Linked DNA regions of Arabidopsis thaliana. The protein of the gene in region 1 interacts with the protein of each later gene in a biochemical or structural test. Each region holds a gene or a part of one and is shown in the gene's direction. Other genes may lie near its edges.

The links.
Region 2: the proteins of LSD1 (region 1) and GILP form a complex in vitro, tested with the Arabidopsis thaliana proteins (one study listed by BioGRID).

Annotation. Positions count from the first base shown.
Region 1 is NC_003075.7:11,002,405-11,006,158, forward strand, and holds the start of LSD1 (LSD1 zinc finger family protein), read left to right. Parts: upstream 1-2,112; 5' UTR 2,113-2,310; intron 2,311-2,430; 5' UTR 2,431-2,492; exon of another isoform or gene 2,493-2,607; coding exon of another isoform or gene 2,608-2,622; coding exon 2,623-2,746; intron 2,747-2,835; coding exon 2,836-2,940; intron 2,941-3,025; coding exon 3,026-3,057; intron 3,058-3,152; coding exon 3,153-3,198; intron 3,199-3,429; coding exon 3,430-3,569; coding exon of another isoform or gene 3,570-3,590; exon of another isoform or gene 3,591-3,669; coding exon 3,670-3,741; intron 3,742-3,754. Other genes in the region: TSF (PEBP (phosphatidylethanolamine-binding protein) family protein), read right to left, coding at 361-561.
Region 2 is NC_003076.8:4,204,776-4,208,529, reverse strand, and holds the start of GILP (GSH-induced LITAF domain protein), read left to right. Parts: upstream 1-2,071; 5' UTR 2,072-2,324; coding exon 2,325-2,518; intron 2,519-3,235; coding exon 3,236-3,467; coding exon of another isoform or gene 3,468-3,543; 3' UTR 3,544-3,754. Other genes in the region: AT5G13200 (GRAM domain family protein), read right to left, coding at 451-651, 742-1,016, 1,107-1,449. UniProt on the Arabidopsis thaliana protein: Acts as a membrane anchor, bringing other regulators of programmed cell death (PCD) to the plasma membrane. Negatively regulates hypersensitive cell death.

The DNA of each region.
Region 1 (3,754 bases):
AAGATATTTATGCTTTTCTAAAGGTATGTATCCTAGAATAAAAAAACTAAAATAAAAATAAAAGCGAAACAAAATCAAGTTAACCGTCTCTTGAAAACGTAATATATATAATCGAGAAAGATTCAAAATTGATTTAAAATAATAATCAAACCAATAACAGTTATGCATGCAAGAAGTTAGAGGAAACGCAGCAGGTATATAGATGAGGCTACGAAAGAAAAGAATGATCAAATCTAGTTACGCTTAAATTTGGATATATCTAAGGTTTCTTCGTCAATATATGGAGCTTACGAAAACGAAAGAGTGAGCTACGAGGAACTAAATCAATGAAGATAAGAGGAATGAAGGAGAGAAGATCACCAAGGTGTAGAAATTTCTGAAGTCGTCTCCTCCAATCTCCACTATTGGTTTGTTCAGAACTTGAGAAGGCCTTAGATCCAAGCCATTAGTAACCTCTCTATGGCCATAAGTGACCTTAAGAGAGACCAACCTCGTGAAAGGATCAAGAACATCTCCAACAACACTGCCGACCACAAGAGGATCTCTACGACTTAAAGACATATTTATCTTGGATCTCAAGTATCTCAATCAAATGTTTTGCTTCTTACCTTATGAACCCTTACTTGCTATTCTTTATATAACGTTTTGGGAATTGCAATAATTAGCTATTTAGCTTTATTCTCTCCAATGAAATCATTACCAGGGTCTTTTCGTGTATAGTTTCGAGAATCTACAACTCGTTCAACGTACGTATATCACTTATAATTCATGTTTTTTTTTTCTTTCCTTTTTTCTAAATTTATAGTATTCTTATTCCAAAACCCACCAGTATAAAACAGAAATAATCATATTCCAAATTATACATCATCCACTTGTTTCTTGCTAGCCACTAGTATGTAATTTATTCTGACTTATCATTGTAACTTCATGAACTATTTAAAATAATGTCACAAGCATATAATATGCTGCATATTTGCGTACGTCACGCATTTTGCGTCACATGTCACTCATTTAAATAGTTAAGGACACTACATTACACCGATTATGTATGATGTTAATGCATTTTAGAATAACTCCTTCAACCTAAACCATCATATAAAAGTATATATGCTCCAGATAAATTGACGCCATAATTGTTCACATATCTGGTTGGTGTGTACATACGTACTAGACTCTTTTTTTTCTTTTCTTAATGTAGTACTAAACTTAATTAATACCATCAAAAATATCAATTTAACAAAACAAACCAGTAAAACTTTTAAAACAATGGAGTAAATCAAATAAAACAAGTAAATTAACAAATAGACACAAGGTAACAGAAGTATAATAACGACAGAAAAGTGAACAATTGGCCAAAAAATTCGTTTTCAAACGTGATTTCAAAATTGTCTCCAAATCTTAAATGTTGATAAAGTAATTTTTTTAAAATTCATTATACCTTTCAAAAACAAGTGTATTACCTAAAAGCTCAACCGTGTATTCTTACACTCCAAACAAATTTAGTTCCCCAAGTTTGGAAGACAAAAATTTCTAAGAAATTTCTGACAAAACACATGAGAAATAAACCGATAAAGACTTCTAAAAACTATTGCAGACCAGTTTCATTTGCTGACCACAAAAAGTCATGAGAATACAATTAGCTCAGTGATTCTTGATATTTCTGGTACCTAACAAAAAGAAAAGTGTGTGAGGTTAGATGGCTATGATTTTTGCTCTCCAATTTATTGTCCATTTCCCCAATTTGTAATATGAAATGCGCAAATTACTCTTCTTCCGATATGAATAAGCAAACGAAAACATACGTGGGACGTTATGTTCAGAACATTTGATTAAAGTTTATATGCGATTTTCATTTATTTATTATGAATTTTTTGTTTGGCAGCATGTACGATTTTTCATTTAACACACAAATATTATAGAATTTTCATTGGTTCAAAGGGGTAGACAAAAAATAATTTAATATTATTACACCATTTGCAGAAAATTAGAAAATATATTTTTACCCATAATTAATTGATCTATGGACGTATGCTTGGCATAAAAATTCATATTTAATTAGCAGAAGCCAATCGCTGCGTTTGTATATACGCGTTTATGACCGAGAAAAAAACCCTTACGCGTCATGTAAAAAAAAAAGAAGCGTAAATTACGAAAAACAGAGAGATAAATCCGGGCATTGAGATTTTGGAGATAGAGAGAGAGAAAAATCGAAATCTATTGTCTATCTCCTCAATTTGGATTGGATTTTCTGCATATCATCGCTCTAGCTTTCGCGGGTTTTGGATTCGATTCCTTACCCTTCTCCAATCGGTAAGAACAAGCTCCAAAGTTTGTTCCTTTTTTTCAATTTTCGCCAATTCTGTAATCTCATCATTGTCCTTGTTTGTTTGTTTGATTCAACACACAATTCTTGTTTTGATTTGGATGCAGAAGTTTTTGGCTTTGAATTGGATTTGGGTTTCGTTCCAAAATCAGCTCTTTTTGTTAATCAGGTGAGTTTTTAGGTATTTGAATCTCCAATTGCTTCCTTGCAATGACTAAGTATTGTGAAATGTTTAGGGTTTCATCTGTGTGGGTCTTGTTTTGAAGCAATTTGTGTGTGTTTGGATGAAAGTAGCAGATATGCAGGACCAGCTGGTGTGTCATGGTTGTAGGAATTTATTGATGTATCCTAGAGGAGCATCTAATGTGCGTTGTGCGTTATGTAACACTATCAACATGGTTCCTCCTCCTCCTCCACCTCACGGTATCGATTTCTTTGTTGAATTTGAATTGAGGATGAGGTTAATATGCTCTGCAATTGTATTATAACTTGGGTTCTGATTCTGAATACAGACATGGCACACATTATATGTGGTGGTTGTAGAACAATGCTTATGTATACGCGTGGGGCTAGTAGCGTAAGATGCTCTTGCTGTCAAACTACGAACCTTGTGCCAGGTATATTAATAATATCGTGACATCCATATCAATCCTTTTAAAGACCATGTATTATATTGCTTTATAAGGTCTTTTAGTCCTTTAGAATCTTCTTTCACACTTTTGTTTGATAACATTGTTCTGTGGAGATGATGCTTACGTAACGTATTTCCACTTTTCCCAAAGATGTATATGAATCTGAATTCTGAAAATATCTGGGATTTGTAAAGCAGCTGAAAGTACTTAAAACAAAGCTTTTAGATGGTCCCGGTGGACTAGGTAACTACTTGTTAGAGCTAGTAGGGTTTATTATTGTTTTGTTTGATCTACCATTAGATTCTTATCTTTAATTAGCGTCTAAGCTGTTGTCATTTAGCTGTATGATTATCATTTATCCATGACTGCTTAAGAACATTGCTGATTACTTCGTTCATTAGTATTTCTTGGATTTTTCTAGCATTAACATTGCTTGTTTTCTGAATCTGTGCGTGTCTTTTTTGAAATCGACAGCGCACTCCAATCAGGTTGCCCATGCTCCTTCCAGTCAGGTTGCGCAGATCAATTGTGGGCATTGTCGGACGACCCTCATGTATCCTTACGGTGCATCATCCGTCAAATGCGCTGTTTGTCAATTCGTAACTAACGTTAATGTGATTATTCCTATCTATTAAGCCACCTCTGCATGGTTGAGTTAAGTATAGAGATCTTTCTGTTGGAAATTTTCATTTCTGATTCATTTTGCATCCTTAGATGAGCAATGGAAGGGTACCTCTCCCAACTAACCGGCCAAATGGAACAGCTTGTCCCCCCTCTACATCAACTGTGAGTTATCAAA
Region 2 (3,754 bases), on another chromosome or scaffold:
TGATTTTGAATCAAGTTTAATTATTGGATCAATTATCCAATAATTAATTATGGCCAAATCCAAGTTCTAGAGTTTTCTCTAGAAATATCATCATTTCCACCTCCTTAAAAGATTCTAGAAATTTTCTAGAATCATCTTCCACCTCCTTAAACATAAAAATCTAGATACTCTAATAGAATAATCTAGATACTCTAATAGAATAATCTAGATAATTTGAATAATGTAATCTAGATCTTATGTAAGAACTCTCTAGACTTAGGATTAAAATATTTTAGATATTTTGTAGTTTGGAGGCTATAAATACCTCCTCCCCCTCTCAAATGTTGCAATGTTGTGAAGTTGTATTCAAAGTTTAAAGCAAAGTAATAAAAGTTCTATTTCCTAAAAAACTCTCTCAAAACACTTAAACACTTTCTCCATTACCTCTAAAAGAATTTTACTCTAACAGTTTTAACCAGACACAGAGCCGTGTGCGGTTTGAAAATCGGAGACACTGGTCAGCAGATGATGCGTAGCCTTCTCATAATTCACAAAACCCATGAACCAGAAGTCATGACCATCCACCGTCGTCAACTGAATATACTTCTCAGGTGGAGTCTCTTTCACCACCACCGGATTCACCGTCGCTACATTCGCCAAAGGTACAACCACCTGCCACAAAACCAAACACCAAACAACATTAGACCTACGTTAAAAACAATCTCCAAATTCATTCTTTTACAAAAGCAAGACTTTACTTACCCTGTAGTAGCTCCAAGATTCTTGACCAGAAGGTGCTGTGAAGTACAGAGGACGATCGCTACAAAAAGCGACACGAGCATTCGAAAGATAGACAGTTCCAGCAACAGGACCTGTCGTCGTCGAGAGATAACAAGCGAAAGTTTTCTTCAGCGTCTCGTTTGGCTCTGTTCCGAAAATCTGTCTGAAAAGCGACTCGAATCCTCCTTTTGTTATCGCTTTGGCCGTCAAATTAACCTTCCCCCACGCCGTTTCCGACATAGACGGTCCTGTCTTCACTGCAAAAAAAAAAAAAAAAACCAACAAAATTCGTCAAAGACTCAAACTTGCTTTGTCCAAATGCTCCAATTAAGTGGAAGGAGACTTACGATTGTGCCAGAGGTTACGTGCGACGGTTTCTGCCTTGCGACTCCAGGTATGGAACATTCCGATGACTGGCTCGAGAGGGTTGTTAGTTGTTGGATGTTCGACAGGAGAGTAGATGACGTACGGTTGGTACTGCGTCTGCTGGTTATCTCCAGCGACCCACGCCGCCGCCTGTTGGTTATCGGGATGAGCAACTGGAGCTGCCGGAGCTCCCATCACGTGAGTACCCCATTTCTTCTGATCCGGAGACGATGAAGAAGGTTCTGGTTGGTGCTCTGTTTCTAGAGTTTTGGGTTGCTCTTGATCAATGATGATCTTAGGTTGGTCTTCTTGTGATCCTGTCATGGCTGAAATTTTCTGAATTTGGTTGATGATTCTGAAACGTTCTTCGTCTTCTATTGAAATGGATGTGATGGATTGTGTTGAACTTGGTTTTTTAATTTATAAGATTGGATTATACATATATAAAACGCGGTTTTGATGATGTTACCTTTGGGATTAAGAGTTGGACTATTTTAGGCTGAATTTTGACATTTAGTTTAATCCTTAACCAATAAGATAAGAACACATAATGGTTTTAGAATGTTCTTGATAAATACAAGATTTTAGAAAAGTCTCTGTGTCATTCAATGATTACATTTTGCTGAATCTTCTTGTAATTACAGTAATGAAGAAGATAATAAATAAGGTGATTGTGACATGGACTCTCTGCTATGTCGGCAAAGAGGCCTAAACAACACGTTCTTCTTTTGTAGTCCAACACGTTCTTCTTTTGTAGTCCATCGCTTGTTTGTTACCGTCAAACTCAAACTTCACTTTTAAAAACGAACCTTGCAATTTAGACGAAAGCTAGAACGAACAGGTCTAAGACAATTATTAGGCCTTTTGAGCCCAATATCTGTATTAAGTATTTAAGTTTATAAACAAAAGGCCCATTAAGTGTGGAGTCTCTATCTTCTAGAGGAAAGAAAGAATCAAAGAATCGTTGAAATCAAAATTGCGATTAATCTCAAATTAAGTACACACGCGTAATCGTCAGAGATTTGGAACTTTCCTTGAATCTCCATCGTCTTCCGCGTAATTTCCCTGGGAATTTTCATAGCGGAAAGGGAATTAAATAAATACTCTTCGAATCAGCTTCGTCTGTTTCTCTCGTTGTGATTGATTTGCTTTATCTTCGAAATCGTTGAGTTTGACCGTAAAAACTAAAAACAAAGGAGATGGCGAAAGAGGGAACAACGGTGATCGGAGTTCCATATTACGCGGGGCAGAATCCGTATCAGGCCGGAATTGTGCCGCCGAATGCTATCTATGGTGATCCGTTGGGTGCTCCGATTCAGCAAACGATTTATCGAGACACTCCTGCTCCTTTCAATTGCCTTTATTGCGGCAACACTGGTCTCACCAATCTCAGGTATATTCACTTATACGATTTTAGAGTTTATTGTTCGCGAATCGTTCTATGACTCGATTACAAGAAATCATCGAGGAAATGTGCAATCGGCAATTTCGGATCCATGTCAATTGATCTCATACTTGGAAGCAATATAGTAGAAAAATTAGCGCCTCTAATCATTGCCAGTGGTTTAAGGTTTTGAGTATTGGATTTTTGGTTTCAGGATTCTCAAACTTGTTCATTTTGATTGGTGTGTTTCATTAGCTATAGAATGTTTGATACTTCTATATGAACAAGCTGTTATAAAACTTAAATCACTTAAAAGGAAGGCTGAAAGAACTCCATTGATCCAGCCTGTTATTGTTAAGCTTTCTCAACAAATATACTTAAGCTGCAAAGATAAAGCTACCTGCTTTGTGACTCTTTCTGTTGGTAACAACATCTTTTCCTTAGTAGTGGAGTTATTTAGATGGTGCTTCACTTCAGTATCTCTTCTATTTTGATACTGGCGGTGATTGGTTTTAATGAAGTTAGTCTGCTTTACGTTTTCTCGTTTCTCGGCATTCATGTTTAGGGCTTACATTTTTCATTCTACCGAAACAATTTTAAGAGCATGAGACTGTACTATTCCTTTGTGATAACCTGTGGTTTTATGTGAAAATATTCATTGTAACAACCTGTGGTTTACATCTTCTTTGTTTGTGATATATATTTTTTTTTATGGATGTGAAACAGATCGAAACCTGGTGTAGCTGCTGTTGTTGCTTGCATGATGCCGTTTATGCTTGGTTTCTGCTTTCTCTGCCCTTCAATGGATTGCCTCTGGAACAAACAGCACCATTGCCCTCAGTGTGGGAACAAGGTACTTTTATATGTCTTCTTCATGCCTGCTACTCGTGTGCGTTTTTTTTTTCTCTGTATGGAAGATTGTTTCATTCATATGATTGATTTGTTTACAGGTTGCTGACTTTGAGAAATCAGATCCCTGCCTGGTGATGGATCCGCCACAGTGGAAGCAACCTAGTTTCGCACTCCCAGCATGATAAGATGCATTCTTTTCTCTTGTGATTAATATTGCTTGTGAAGTTGAGTCGTTCTGTTGCATGTACTGGAAAAAAACTAAGATCCAGAATAACCCTATAGAATGTGTGAGAAATGAAATATTTATTCTTCTGTATCGTTTCACTGATTCATGAATGAACCGTCTATTGTCTAGTCTCTTGTGCCTTCTTGGCTATGACTCAACAAGGCTCT